Drosophila melanogaster: one gene and its partners. Changing the gene in region 3 together with the main gene of any one other region gives a genetic interaction. Each region holds a gene or a part of one and is shown on either strand. Other genes may lie near its edges.

What was found.
Region 1: of Delta (region 3) and sno, changing one suppresses a phenotype caused by changing the other (phenotypic suppression), as found in Drosophila melanogaster (2 studies listed by BioGRID).
Region 2: of Delta (region 3) and px, changing one enhances a phenotype caused by changing the other (phenotypic enhancement), as found in Drosophila melanogaster (2 studies listed by BioGRID).

What each region holds. Positions count from the first base shown.
Region 1 is NC_004354.4:13,208,632-13,213,546, forward strand, and holds the start of sno (strawberry notch), read right to left. Parts: upstream 3,044-4,915; 5' UTR 2,472-3,043; coding exon 2,469-2,471; intron 1-2,468. Other genes in the region: REG (proteasome regulator gamma), read left to right, coding at 3,958-4,327, 4,525-4,892. UniProt on the Drosophila melanogaster protein: Notch pathway component, may contribute to the specificity between lateral and inductive Notch signaling pathways in the wing disk. Required during many developmental stages including oogenesis, embryogenesis and imaginal development of the eye, wing and leg.
Region 2 is NT_033778.4:22,559,023-22,563,810, reverse strand, and holds the start of px (plexus), read left to right. Parts: upstream 1-1,745; 5' UTR 1,746-1,892; exon of another isoform or gene 1,893-1,912; intron 1,913-2,668; 5' UTR 2,669-3,065; intron 3,066-4,788. Other genes in the region: CG11362 (uncharacterized protein), read right to left, coding at 1,022-1,317, 1,378-1,417.
Region 3 is NT_033777.3:19,323,191-19,328,137, reverse strand, and holds the start of Delta (delta), read left to right. Parts: upstream 1-1,920; 5' UTR 1,921-2,599; coding exon 2,600-2,656; intron 2,657-4,947. UniProt on the Drosophila melanogaster protein: Acts as a ligand for Notch (N) receptor. Essential for proper differentiation of ectoderm. Delta is required for the correct separation of neural and epidermal cell lineages.

The DNA of each region.
Region 1 (4,915 bases), on a different chromosome or scaffold from region 3:
CACCCTCTCAACCCCAACCCCTTTAAACCAAAGGGTTTTGGCTCAGTTGGCAGCTGAATGCGGCCAAAGGGGTTGGTCAGGGGGACTGGAGCAGGTCGAAAGTTGTGGAGGATGAGGGGGGGGGGGGTGCCAGGAGGAGCAGCAATCTGCAGCGCATGTACAGCAATTAGAGCAAGACAGACTGCTGTGGCTGTGGATGTGGGCACGTCCTTGGGGAAGGGGTAGGGTGCTGGTGGGCGCCGGAGGGTGGCGACGGGTCTGGTTGGCTCGTTCGCTGGCTATATGCGTTCAAACATATATACCGTGTACCTCTGTGTGCTCCGGGATAAAACAACTGGCAAGGGACTTGGGCCAAAAGCAAAGCAAACAGAAGCAGCCGAGACAAACAAATGCAGTGAGGACAGTGAACGTCCGCTGGAATGATCGATCACTATAAAAACTGATCTACGACAGTGCGATATATTCTCAACATTTTTCCAATCAGATTTCAAAAACCAGCTTAACTCAAGTAATCACCTCTTTAAAATGAATATTATTATATTGTATTTGGCTAGGATAGATAGATACTAGATACTTAATTAATTAATCATTTACATTGAAGTCATTTAATTAGGCTCAAAAGATAAAAATAAGAATTCGCTATTAGCATCTGAAATGCATTCCTCAACGAAAACATAGTTCTCACTCCCAAATCAATTCTAACTCCGCAATATTTCATCCACACCTCCGCCTGTTAATGGATTGCAACATTTTTGTTGACACACAAAATAAAATCAAAACGAATGACCTTGCAACAAGGGAAATGTTGAAAATCTGTGGCCAAAAACATGTGTTTCCATCAACCACCCTCTCGCACAAATAGAAACATCAACATGTTGTTGCCAAAAAAAAAAAAAAAAAAAAAGTTGGTATGAATTACGAAAAATAAACAGCCACAACATTAACCCTTATCAGCAGGGTAGGCGAATGAAAAAATAAAAACAAAAGGTGCAGATAAAAACGGACAAAAAAGGACACAAACAAAGGCCAAGGAAAATAGACCTGAAAAATGTTACAAAAATGGGGAGAGATTTAGCTAATAAAGGCTCCCGCTCCCAGGAGTTGGCAAAGAGATGTTGACCGGGCCGAGGGAAATGTGAAAGCGCAGGCGCCAAAAAACTCGGAATGCATTGGCCAAAGCGGACACGGCGATACATAACACGGCTCGTAGGACCACTTACCCACCCTCCCCAATCAGAAATGCTCTGGCTGCAGCAGAGGAAAAGCAGCGCAGCTTGTGTGGGAGGGGCAACTCGCATTTCTCAGGATGCATTTCTGAGCTGCAGCTGCACCAACTGCAGTTCTACAGTGGAAACCCCTTAGCGGGGATTCTATCGAACTTTTGCGTGAGTGGTTTGAGTCTCTGCCAGGGGTTCCGTCGCTCATGCCGAGCAACAAGTGTGAGGAAAAAAAAACTTGGAATAATAACGAATAAATCCGGGTAAATAAACGATAATCAAATCTATTTCTTTATCAAGAAAACAAATTGTGAATCGTATTATTATATCATAGGGATAAGGATAATTTAGATAACAAATATGTGCATTTTGAGAGGAATTAAAGTTATTTTCTTTGCACGTAAACAAAAGCATAAGCATTTCACAAATCAATCACTGTAAAGCTGCGGTACTTGTAAAACACTTGAGTAGTCAAAAGCTGGCATAAGTATATCAAATTTCCAGTAATTGATGATACAAATAAATATTATTAACATATTTTATAAAAAATGATTCTTTGAATAGATTAGCAACACTATTACGGACTATATAATTTAAATTACATTTGTAGAAATAGAAATTGTATGGTCATAGTTTTGATAACATTCAAAACGATGCCGCCCCCTGAAAAATAGTTGTCATCCTCAATTCAATGATGCACCATAGACCCATAGCCCCATACCCCGCCCATGGTCTTAACCCACATGTTGCCCCTGAGTCGCATGGCCTTAACCCTAACCTAGCGCAACTTTTGTCGACTGAATTCGTTTAACTCGTGTGCGGGGGAAAAAACGCCAAAACTAAACTCAGCGTGTGTGCACGAAAGAGAGGGGCGAGCGCTAAGAGGGAGTATGAGAGGGAGAGAAAAACACATGGTTCCAGGCCACGCGAATCTGCGATATAAAATGCATCCTTAGAAATTACAGAAGAAAACAATTGCAGATAAAAAAAACAGCAACAACAACAAAATGGGTGGACGAGGAAAGAGCGAAAGGCGCAAGAAAAGGAGAAACAACAATTATTGAATGAGTTGGCTACTGCTCCTTCTTCTCATTATTATTCTCCTTCATCAGCTTCTGCAGCCGCTTTGTTTTTGTTTTATGCATGTGTGTGTGGGTAAATGTGAGTGTGTCAAAATTTAGCAACAAAGAAATTTATATTAAGTCATGCTATTGACGGCAACAACAAAAAAGCCAGCTAACTTAAACTTACCATTTTGATTCTCCTGCTTACTGCTAACGGTGGTTGTTCTTGATGTTCGTCCCTCCGATGGTTCTTGTTGTTGTTGTTAACCACAAAAAAAAAATCAACAGACCGCGCACCCACGCGTTTTTCGTTCTTTTCTTGGTTTTTTTTTGTGTTTTGTTTAAAATTTATATATTAATTTCTTTTTAACAATGCGTTTTTGATGCTGTCAACGGAACAGAACAATTGTGCGGCAAGTTAGATAGCAAATGCAGCAAATATAAAAGGCTGGACTCCGCAATTTTCAGCGCGTTAGAAATGTTTTTGTTGTTGTTGTTCTTCCTGTTGTTATTGGTGTTGCGATAATGACTGCATGCGTGTGTGCATGCGTGTGTGTTGTTGTTGTTGAGTGTGTTTTTCTTTTGTTGCTGCACGCGGTATTTCGCTTCGGATAAATTTGTTCGTATGCGTTGTACCGCGCAATACACGCAAAACGAGGAATCGGAATAAAGGAGGAAGGAAACGAGAACGAGACGAGAATGAAGCGACGAAGCCGAAAACACACGTAACATGCCAACTATCGCAACTAACGAGATGCCAACTAGATAGAGCTGGAAAAACATCGATGAGAATCGATAATGGTGAAGCGAGAAAACGTCAGTTTGACGATTATTGATAAGAATGCCGATGTATACTAAAACTTATATTTGGGCACACTTATTTATAGCGTGTTTGCTCTAAAAATATTAATAGCTTAATATTACTTATAATATATATATATGGAAAATATTTTAAAAATATAGATATTTAAATGAAAACATTTTAAATTGCACAAAGGGAGACATAATAAACTTACTTGGTATTTAAACAAATCTATCGGTCTGGCACGCGGTGCACACAAGACTATCGATAAATGGCGCGCGTCTTATTTCTTTATATTTCATGATATATATCCGTTAAATTCTAATCACGTTACAACAAAGTATATGCAAGTTTAACATGGTAAATGAGAAGCGAGCTTCAGCTGTTGCATTTAAATAAATGATGCCAACTGCAATGTACATTAATGCATTTAAATATGTTTTGCCAACTTTAATGTTCAGCTAATTTGTTTATGAAACTGAAAGTAATTAGAAGACTTTCAATCTAAAAAAAGTATAGAAAAAATATATATTGACATTCAAGATATTTAAGATACTTGTGGGGTATTAATTTGCAAAATTTCTGCAAACTTCGACGCTATCGATAAGCATCGATTATTCTTTTTCTTCCACCTCTAGCACCACATGCGTGTTGTTGCTTGGGCATCAAAATTTGTCGGTAAGTCTGGTTTTCCCGCTTTCAATTTCGCAATCCGCCGACACAAGTCCCTAAAAGTCCGCCGATTTCAGACGGTCCGCGTTGCTGATTGTTATTGAGAAGATAAGGAACGAGAAGAACCGGTACTACGCCAGGAGACAGGACTCAGGATCAAAGGCTTCCACGGACACGAAAAGGAATCCACATAGCTAACGAAATGCCTAACGACACTGTGGTAAAGGTGCAGGAGTACAAGGACTCGTTGATCCTCAAGGCAGAGCTGCTAATCACCAAGGGGTTCCCGGAGAATATCGTCCGGCTGAACGAGCTGCTGGCCACGCCGATCTTCAACGAGCGCAACTTCGAAGAAGTGCACCAGGACCTCAACATCCCGGTCCTGCCGCCTCTCCTGGTTAAAAACGAGTTGGAGGATCGTGACAGTCTGCCCACCAAGCGCCAGCGCGTGGATGTCATCGTCTCTGGGCAGCCTGTCATGGGTCTGCCCGCCGGTACAGTGCCGTGCAACAAGCCGCTCTGCGAGATGATCAAGGTCGTCAAGCCTATCATCAGGAAGCTTGTGGAGGATTGTAAGTACACCGTATATTCAAGCGTCTCAACCTAATAAATGTTTTTATGCTATTCAAGAGCCCCTTCAATTTTCCTAAAACAATGAATTCCAAGAATTTTTACATTCGAACGGTACAAATGCCAGTAGCTAAAGTTTTGCCTGACATTAAGCTTTTTAATGAATACCTAGTAATTTCTGAATTGATTTCTTTTGCAGCCAATCTACTTAAGATGTGGATCTCCTTTATGATACCCAAGATCGAGGATGGCAACAACTTTGGCGTCTCCATTCAAGAGGACACGCTTGCCGAAATTCAAACTGTGGAATCCGAGGCGGCCGCCTTCTTTGACCAGATATCGCGCTATTTCTTGTCGCGCGCCAAGGTGGTGTCCAAGGTGGCCAAGTATCCGCACATCGATGATTATCGGCGCGCAGTCGTCGAACTTGACGAGAAGGAGTACCTCAGCTTGTGGCTGGTCGTTTGTGAGGTCCGCAATCGCTACTCCTCGCTGCACGACATTGTTATTAAGAACCTCGAGAAGCTAAAGAAGCCGCGCTCCTCAAATACCGAAAGCCTGTATTAGGCTAGGTATTTCCGAAGCCCGAG
Region 2 (4,788 bases), on a different chromosome or scaffold from region 3:
TCTACAGAGTAGCCATATACACGATATATATATATACCTAATATATATATATATATACATATATTTACTATTTATAGATGTACGAACTTCGAGAAAGTGCTATTTAAACTCGTCTAAGACTTCACTGCATAGCCTATGCCTAGAATCTATAACTGCAGATTGTTTCATATTCATATACACACTGTATACTGTATACACATAGATATATTTACGATCGTTATAGATCAGCGATACCTTATACGATGTAGCCCTTGAATGTACAACATAGTTACTTACTAAATGTTAGCAATTTTACCAACTAAAACTCGAGATGTATTTATTAACGCCTAAACTCTTTAGTATTCCACCCTACCCAAAGGAACCTATATAAGAAGCCCCCCAAATTCTCATATATCTAACCATGGATACCTATTAAAAAACTATATGTTATAGCGTGTGTATATATAGGACAAGCGTACAATAATCGCAAACCCAAGGAGCAAAGTAGTACTAAGTACCTGCAAATCAAACAGAAAAACATAAACCGAAACTGAAACAGAACACGAAACACGAAAAGTATCTCTGCAGCGGATATTACATAGTCAATAGTAAATGTTAACAATGTTATACTATATATACATAGATCTATATATATATATAAATATATATATATATATATATACATATAAAAGAAACCAATGAAAAAACCTTAAATGTACCTTGTTATCTGTTGTTTATTATTTGGAAAGCAAATCTTCGTTTCTTGCCGTCTTTAGTTGAAAGCTTTCTGTGGCATATTTCTTTGTTCTTCCTTAACGAATTCTTCTATCATTTATCAGTTTTAATACTTCATTTCTTTTCTCCTTTGGCCTCGTTGCAAAACTGAATTCGAAATAAATGCTCTTGACCAAAAAATCTCATCAAGTTCCTCTCATTTGAAATCATCAAAACCTCATCGTCTTCTCCTTTCATTTTCTTATTTATGAGCGCGTTGGAATTCTTCTCACAGCTGGAAAATATATCAAAAAAGAACATACTACGCCTATGTAATGAGTCCAATGAATCTGCCAAAGGTCTCGATAAGAAACCGCATCATCTGCAAATTATCCATTTCTGGACTCAGCTTGAAGTACTGAGTAATCTTCGGTTTTCTCTTTCCCGGGATATCCCTGTCCACATTTGTAATGAGATGTTTTAAGTAATGCGGAATACTCTGAAGACCAAAGGGAATATTTTCGTTTTGCAGCAGGAACTCTTCGGTTTTCATAGTAACAGAATTATTTGGCACTGCCATTTTCACACTTATTTCGTTGGGAATAGCTGTTCCGAGTGTGATTCCTAAGCCGGCAGGGAAAATTCATTAGTAGAATTTATTTTATACATATGTTAATTGCTTACCCAAGAAAAAGTGCAGAATAAAAATCACTATTGAGTTCATTTTCAGACCTAATTATTTCTGTTACAATGTTCTGATTTTGGGTTGAGTTGTGACGCAAAGTATACTATTTGAAAACTTTACTTCGACGCTTAATTCGAACAATAGATTATTATAGATTCAAAGTTTATTTAAATTGAAATCTTTAAATCCCGTTATGTTACATTTTTGAATTGCGCGCCCAAATCTTCCACGAACGCGTTAGCACATAACTCAATTTGAGCCGCTTGTGAGCAACAGCTGATCCACTGCTCTTCTTCTTACACTCCAGACAATCGCAGCACGAAATCCAGCGATGTGGCAACACCGCCGGCCAGGTGGCAATTCTGCTGCGCAGTGTGCACACACTGGCAGCCACTGCTGGTTGGCTCTTCTTCTTGCAACTGCTGCAATTATATATCGCTGTTCCGTCGTCTCCGCCGATCCAACTCCGCGCAAAAAACCGCACATATATCGCTCAACGGTCCGCGAATAATCCGTAAATATTGCAATTGCACGGTGGGCACAAAAAACACGACAAAATAAAAGGCCCAACACAAAACAAACGGAAACTCACACGGACACACGCACACACACGCAGGCGAGCAGCTGACGCCGGCAGAGGCAGTGCAGCAGCAGCGACAGCGGCAGAGCAGCGACGGCAGCAACAAGCAACAAAAGCAAAAGGCAAACAATTGGATAAGCGCTATTAAGGTGTTAAAAAGGCAGCCAACTTAACAGTCCAAGAGTTCAGCTTGAAAAGCTAACGGTTCCAAGGTCGCAGCGCGAAAAAATCGAAAAAAAACACTCGCTTTTTAGCCGTCTTGTTGTTGTTTTGGCTGCTGCAACAGTTGCAGCCTATGCGTATGTGTGTGTGTGTGTGTTGTGTGGAATTGTGCGATCGCCATCGTCCGTTTCTCTCGCACTTGCTGCTAATAGTCGCCGGTGAAATGGTGTCGCCTTTCGCAGCCGACGTCGACGTCGCTGCCGACGACGGCGCAGAGACCACCACTGTGGCAATGAAACGCAATTTGTTGTTCTTGTTTCTGTAAAAATGTTTACAATGCGATCAAAATGCACTGGCAGAAATTAAGAGTGATAAGCATCAAATTTAGCCCATTAAAATTTGAAATTGTTAAAAGCGATGTGATAAAGTTTATAAACACAACTATAAGTTTGAAACACATAAGAATAAAATAAAATCTAACTTGCGCGAAATTCATTTTCTTATTTTAAACCTGTAATAGTGACCGAAAATTTTGAAATTCTTTCTAGATTGTTCAGCCACAACTGAAACATAAAATCGAAACCCTATTTTTACCAGCTTAACATGGGTAAAGTGAAACTTATAAGAAAACCATGAAGAATACCGTGAATGCTCAATTCAAAATTTGAAAATCCACTAGTGCTCTTAATAGCTTCAAAAGCAAGTGAAGAAATTTAGAATAAAGAGTGTGATAACCGAAAGAAACACCGAGAAACGCCGAGGAAAGTCTAGACAAGTGCCTGAAACCAAATGTGTTTGCCCCGAAGTTAAGTCCCTTCGATCCGCCCAAATCGGCTTTAATTCCCGTAAATCCCCTCTTCCGCCCAATAATTCCGCCACAAAAACAGGCACATGAGTTGGATTAATCGGAGTCAACTGGAATAGGCCGAAGCACCCGGAGCACAGGTCAGTATCGGAACAATCAGGCCATATCGACTGACATCAATCAGTTAAAACATTCAAATACCGTTTGCTCAATTGGACGGTTCGCCTTGAATCGGTTGAAACCGGTTGCCGATTACCGGTTCGCTTTAAAATTCAATTAATTTAAATCAATTCAGACCAGACAGTTTGGTTTCGTGTGGTTTCCATCACAAATATCCGCCGCGACCTAACTATTTCTAAAAAAATGCAATAAAAGATTGCACAATTCCTAGCAATCGAGGAATTTCAAGTGCTGTACAGCAAATCTGAATGATACTGATATTGACGCTTTTTAAGTGAAGGCATGACGAAAGTAAGACGTTTTTTACGGCATTTACAAAATGCTACTCAAAATATTAGGTTTTGATACGGAAAATCTCAATAGAATCTACCTTACATCATATGTAGATAAAATTTAAAAGTCTTTAATAATTTATGAGATTTTAAATACAAATGCTGAAGTTTGCCATCGAACGTAATTGCAGAATCCTAAGATATTATCATTGACAACTTATTGGGCTGCAAAGATAATATATAAAATATATATTCAATTATTATATTTGTCCAACTGATGGAATTAAATAATCATTAAAATGGTAATTTAATGAGGCGCTTTTGCAGAAAACAAAAGCAAACCGCATGGCGAATAAAACAAAAATCGAAATAAAAGCGATGATTTATGCAATATTCAAATATGCATTTCGCACAGGCACTCACACACACACACACACACACACATACATACAGATAGCATTTGGCTTGAACTTTAAAGAGCGACTACGGTTATTAATTTAACCTTTTTATTTGGCTTCACTTGGTTTAATTTGTGTCCAGCAGGTCCCAAAAACCTGAATGCGCTGATGGCCAGCTCCGCAAATCCCTGAGCCCCTCTTAGCTGTCCGGTTTTTTTTATTTTTTTATTTTTTGGGCGCCCTTAATGGAAAAAATGTTGAGCGGTCTTTTTGCGATTCTCCTCTCGGCTTAATCCCATTTTTGAATACCCTAGCAATAGGGCTTATAACTTCGTTAAAATGGTGAAATACTCTAAATAAAAACATAAAACATATATGAACTTATTTGATTTCAAACTCCAAATGTTGCATGCTTTTAAGCATTTTAAAACCATTCGGTTTTTTGATCTCCATAAGATGTTCCTTATTCCTTGTATATTTCGATTCATCGCACATCCATAGATGATTGATACTGTGCGTATCCGATAGGGTATTCTTAATTCCGATTCGTACATATACCATTTTATACTCGTTCCCCATTGTTTTTGCGTCTGTTTACGTTGAACTGGGGGCCACTGAAATGGAATCGAGGAGAAGGGTGCCCAAAAGGAAAACGACGTCCTGCCATAAAATTGCATGTCCAAGTTGTTTTATTTGATTATGCGATCGTGTGTGTGTGTGTGTGTGTGTGTGTGTGTGTGTGTGGATTTTTGTTGCTGTGCTCGTTTTTTTTTTTTTTTTTGCTGCAAGAGTTTATTGCGCGGAATGCTATTTAATAAATTCCATTTTCTCTGTCATTTTGCCGTGTTTTTGTTTTTGCATCTCGGGCAGGATTTATGTTCTTGCTTTTGTTAGCGCTGTTTCCGCTTTCCATCTTGTTTGTTTGCCCGATGCAAATTTAAAAAATTCAATTTCCCTGGTAACTCCAATTGCGTCAAAGGCCAGCCAAAAGTTGCGGAAATGTGAATTATGTG
Region 3 (4,947 bases):
CCGCATTTCCTTGTAAAATTGGGTGTTGACTTGATTGGTTTCGTTTTCTGGGGTCTCCTGTCTGGTCTCCTCCTGGTCTCATGCATATGCAAATGTCCCTCGTTCGATGCAAATTAATGAAGACCGATTTTTATTGTACAAATTTCAACAACTTTATTTCGCGTGAAGAGAGTTCTGGCCATGTTATTCTCAGCCCTTTGCCTTGCTGACCCATTTATCAGACCATTTCAATGAACTGCTGTTTTCGAGTGATTTACAATGTTTGATCAAAAAATCGAATCAAATTAATCTTGCTCTTTTCGTTAAGTAATTGGATCAATTTTTAACGAAAGTTTGGATCCAGAGACCACCGAAGAATCTAATGATTTGTTAGGAATAATAATAAAATAAATAGGTGTACAGACTTAGCATTTTTACCTTAAGATTTTTACAGAATAGAATGGAAGTACAAATTGGAAAATCAGGCCAGCTATTTAAAATTGTAAAGCCAAAATGAAATCGTAGTAGGCGAACACATCATATTCAATCTATTTTCATAAAAATATTTAGTTTAGCTCGATTCGGCATCGTCGGCAGTCCTATATCAACTAGAAAATATTTGGATTCAAAAAAAAAATTTTATTTTTATTTTTTTTAATATTCGTTGAAAATAAATGCAAGTATTAAAAATTATTACTATTACACAAAATGCTTAGAACAAAATTTATTGATTTTGAAATATTGTTTGGTTATATAGTTATTTATCGTTTATTTCAATAGAGATTCTAGTTCATTTGGTTATTGTGGAGCAAACATATGCAACGCAGTGAAGATGTTATCACAAGATGGTATTTCCGAGCCAATGGATCTTTGAGGCAGAGGCTTGTAAATATTTGTACATTCTGATCATATTTAATGAGATTCCAAACCTTTAGCTAGATGGTATCTTCAGCAATTTCCACCGAGCAGCTTGGACAATTAATATGTAGTTTATGGATCCTCTTTCAATGAATTTAGTATGCCCAAACTCGAAGGAGTTTCACCTCCATAAGAGCGACAGTCCTGGAGAAGTTATCAGAGCCAAAAAAATTCATATGATGATGCATTTTCCGTCTCTGAAAACGTCTTCAGCAGAAGTTGTTTTTAGCGAAGTGAAACTCATTCGATTTTGATCATACTAACGACATTGGATGCTTGGATCGGCAGTTTGGTGGAATATAAATACCAAGACCCTAAGACTGATGACGTACCTGCTAATGAAGATGATGGAGATATACTTGCATGCCAATTCAATAAGTTATAAGCACCCAATATAATAAAATTCAAATATTTATATTAAATACAAATATCCATCTTTAATTTTATTTTTGGTTCTCATCTTGGCAACAATAAATGTTGCTAAGCATTTTGCTTTCAACTTTCGCGTGAGCTGAATCGGTAAATTGAGCGAACCGGGAATCAAATGTTGCTAACGAAATGCTTACAAGCCGGTATCCAACTGGTATCTGAAACTGCTAGCAAAACGGGGAATCAAATGTTGCTAACGTAAACGAATTGAATTGATTTGTTTTATTTTAGATATAAAAATAAAAGTAGAATATCTAGAAATAAAAAATCCGAATTTTGAAGATTATTTAGAGACAATCTTGGAAATTTGTACAAATAAACACCCGTCCGGTTGAAGTTAAACAATATAATAAATTCTTATATCAAAATAAACTTGGTAATGTATATTGAAATTTTAAATAGTTTTTAAAATGTGTAAGTTGACTATTTATTCAAAACGGTTTGTTGCATTGCATCTGCTGAAATGCACTAATTTTGCCACGGAACTCGTTTTGAGAGCGAAAGAGAGAAATGAGAGAGCGAGTACGTTTCGTGGTATTTTTTAGTACGATTCGCGGCGGTGAAGGTGAATAGTGTTTTGGTCGTGGACATGAACGGCATTACGTTTTTCAACTCGGCCGCGCGAATAACTCGAAAAAGGCAGCTCCGCAGCCAAGGCATTTTGAAAAACACAAGTCCCCGACTCGAAACGCGACCAAATATTCGGTGTGTGACGCGAACTGCCAATGCAATAGTTCACTTAAGAATTGCAGATTACCGCGACTCTGGGCAGTTCTCATTCGATATTTGAATGTACCAAAAGAAAAGTGCCAGAACCAGAAATCAAAATAAAAGATCTTCTAACAGAATAACAAGAAGTGTTTCCTCCGAAAGATTAAAAAATCGCGAATGATTAAGAATCGCGGCACCGTTAGTTCCCTCTCTCGCTTTTCCCTTTTGCGCTTTTCTGCGTGAAAAGGAGAAGACTCCGCAGTTCGCGAAAAGAGCTTTTATTTCGCGACACTTAAAAATAAACACAGTCGAGGAAATTGCAACAAAAAATGTGGCGCGTGCACGTGTAGCTTGCAACAACGACAACAAGAAAACAACGAAAATGCTAAAAGCGAATTGCAAAACCATGTGCGACAAGTAACCAAAAAAAAAATTCAAAACATAAACACAATAAACAATTTGAGTAGTTGCCGCACACACACACACACACACACAGCCCGTGGATTATTACACTAAAAGCGACACTCAATCCAAAAAATCAGCAACAAAAACATCAATAAACATGCATTGGATTAAATGTTTATTAACAGCATTCATTTGCTTCACAGTCATCGTGCAGGTGAGTTTCAGTCCCAGGAAAAGCGCTCATTTTCCATCCAACAAGTTGTATTTTTTGGCAATTTATTTTCTTTATTTCTACGCGCACGCGTGCACTCACCGCTGAATTTTGCAGCTGGTGTGTTGTGCGCGCATGTGTGTGTGTGGGGCCAAAAGGGAAGAAACGATTGAAGGGTTGCCAGGTTACTAAATATTTTAAAACTTTTGGGGTTCCGTATGATCATCTCAAAATATCTATTTTGAAACCACTCCAACATCGCGTTTGCTTCCAAACTTATTTTTCAAGCTGGTAACCCGAGAACTTTTGGGTAGAAACAGCTGAGTTGATATTTTAAGCGGGTTGGCTTTTAGGGGTGGAAATTGTGGATCGGATCGTATCACCCTTTTCGGAACATGCATACATATTTCATAGAGCAAAACTAGTTTGGAAACATGCGAGGCCAATGCCCAAACAGGTCCATCCCCAAAAAATGGTTTAATTCTAGTACACAGCGGAAAAATATGAGGCATACGTTAGAAGAAATACCTTCAAGATAATTTTTGACATGCAGATCAGTTCAACTTCTTAGAAATCCTACTATGTGTACTAATTGTTCTCCGTGTAAAAACAGAGATGATCCAAGTCTGCCTCAACGTCAAAATTTACCACCAACGGCGTATGCATCCAGAGCAGCAGCAAAAAATGATAAAACTGCTCGATTTCAATATGAGGCTATATAGTAATGCTGTGCTACAAGCCCATGCTAAAAAGTTGATGATGCTGGGCAACATCTGCCGTTTTCGCCGTCATCTCCTCCTCTGTCCCTCCGCTTTGCATGCGCTTTTTACATGCGATTTTTTTCGGTTTACTTTTCGCTCTGCGTAGGTCAACGCGACACATGCTCAGCCTCACTTGCTCTCCCCTCCTTGCGTTGTTTCTCTTCTGTCATGCTTTCATTGATCTTTAACGCCAGCATCCCCTGGTTACACGGATAAAAAAAAGAGTTGTGCAGGGTTTCCAAACAGTGCGATCTCTAGAAAATAACACTAAATATTTTGTTGTTAATGTGTGGGTTAGTTTCAAAGATAAGAAAATATTAAATTATAATAAATCTTGACCATACATAGTATGTGTACATAGTATACATTTCATAGTTCAGAACTATTTAGCTACGAAGAAATTACAACTTAGATCCACAATATTAAGCTGATAGGGAGCTCTTTATTGATAATAGTACCCATTTACTCACCGTGCACCCTGCATGTGCTCCAATCCTCTACCGCTCTCCGCACTTCTTGATTTTCTCCCAACTTTGGCACGTTGCGTGCTTAAACTTCACTCTTCGACCAGCTTCTTTTTGCAGTCTGCTATTTAGTCGCTAATTTTAACAACGTCCCAAAAAAGTGTCTCGACGCCAACCTCCTGGGGTCTTGGGACTGCTGAAAATGCTCCCCGTATGTAGGCAGAAACATCTGCCCAATAATTCTGACTCATTTCCTTACTTACTTACAGGGAAAGGTGGAATAGTTTAATTTGTCATTTAAAATAATATCTCGGGCAATTAGCTTGCCATTAGCAATGCAATTTAATTCAATTTTCTGCCCATTCTATAAGGTATTATTCTCACAATTTCTTGGCCCTTTCTTGTCCCATGCTGCGTTTAAATTTCAATTTAACTATCAAATAACCGTAGTCGCCTTGTTTTCGCATTTATGCAATTTTCATATTAACATTGAGCGTCGAAGAAGTGAGTGAGTGAGCGAGTGAGTGAATGAATGAATGAATGAATGAAGACTGGGACTCGTGGGGGAGCACTCGTAGTCTTCTCGGCTCTGCTCTTTCTTCGCATAACATAATTAATTGCAATTTAGAAGCCAAAGAGGAAGACGACGACTACTCCCACACAATGCGATGGATGATTCACTTGCGCTTGTAACTGTTTCCCAAGCCCGTTGTTAACGGTTGATTATGATGATGAATTTAAATGATTAATAAACAACATGCAGGGTAGGGGCACCAAAGCAAACACCTGTAGGAAAGTCGAGGAAAAGTCGGGGAAAATTATAATAAAAATGCGTGCTTTCATACATTTTTATGTCCCCTTGTGTTGTTTTAACTTCTTCCCTGCTTTTTTTTCTACAACAACTGTCTGTCAGTCAAGGCAAGTTGACGTGGAAATGGCAAAAAATGAAAAGAAACGAAGAACTAACTAACTAGTCGCTTCAAGCCTCAGTGATCGCAGTAAAAATAGGAGTAGTGGCCAGTAAAGAGAAAGAAAACGAGAAACGGAGACAAAGAATGGCTCAAGCAAA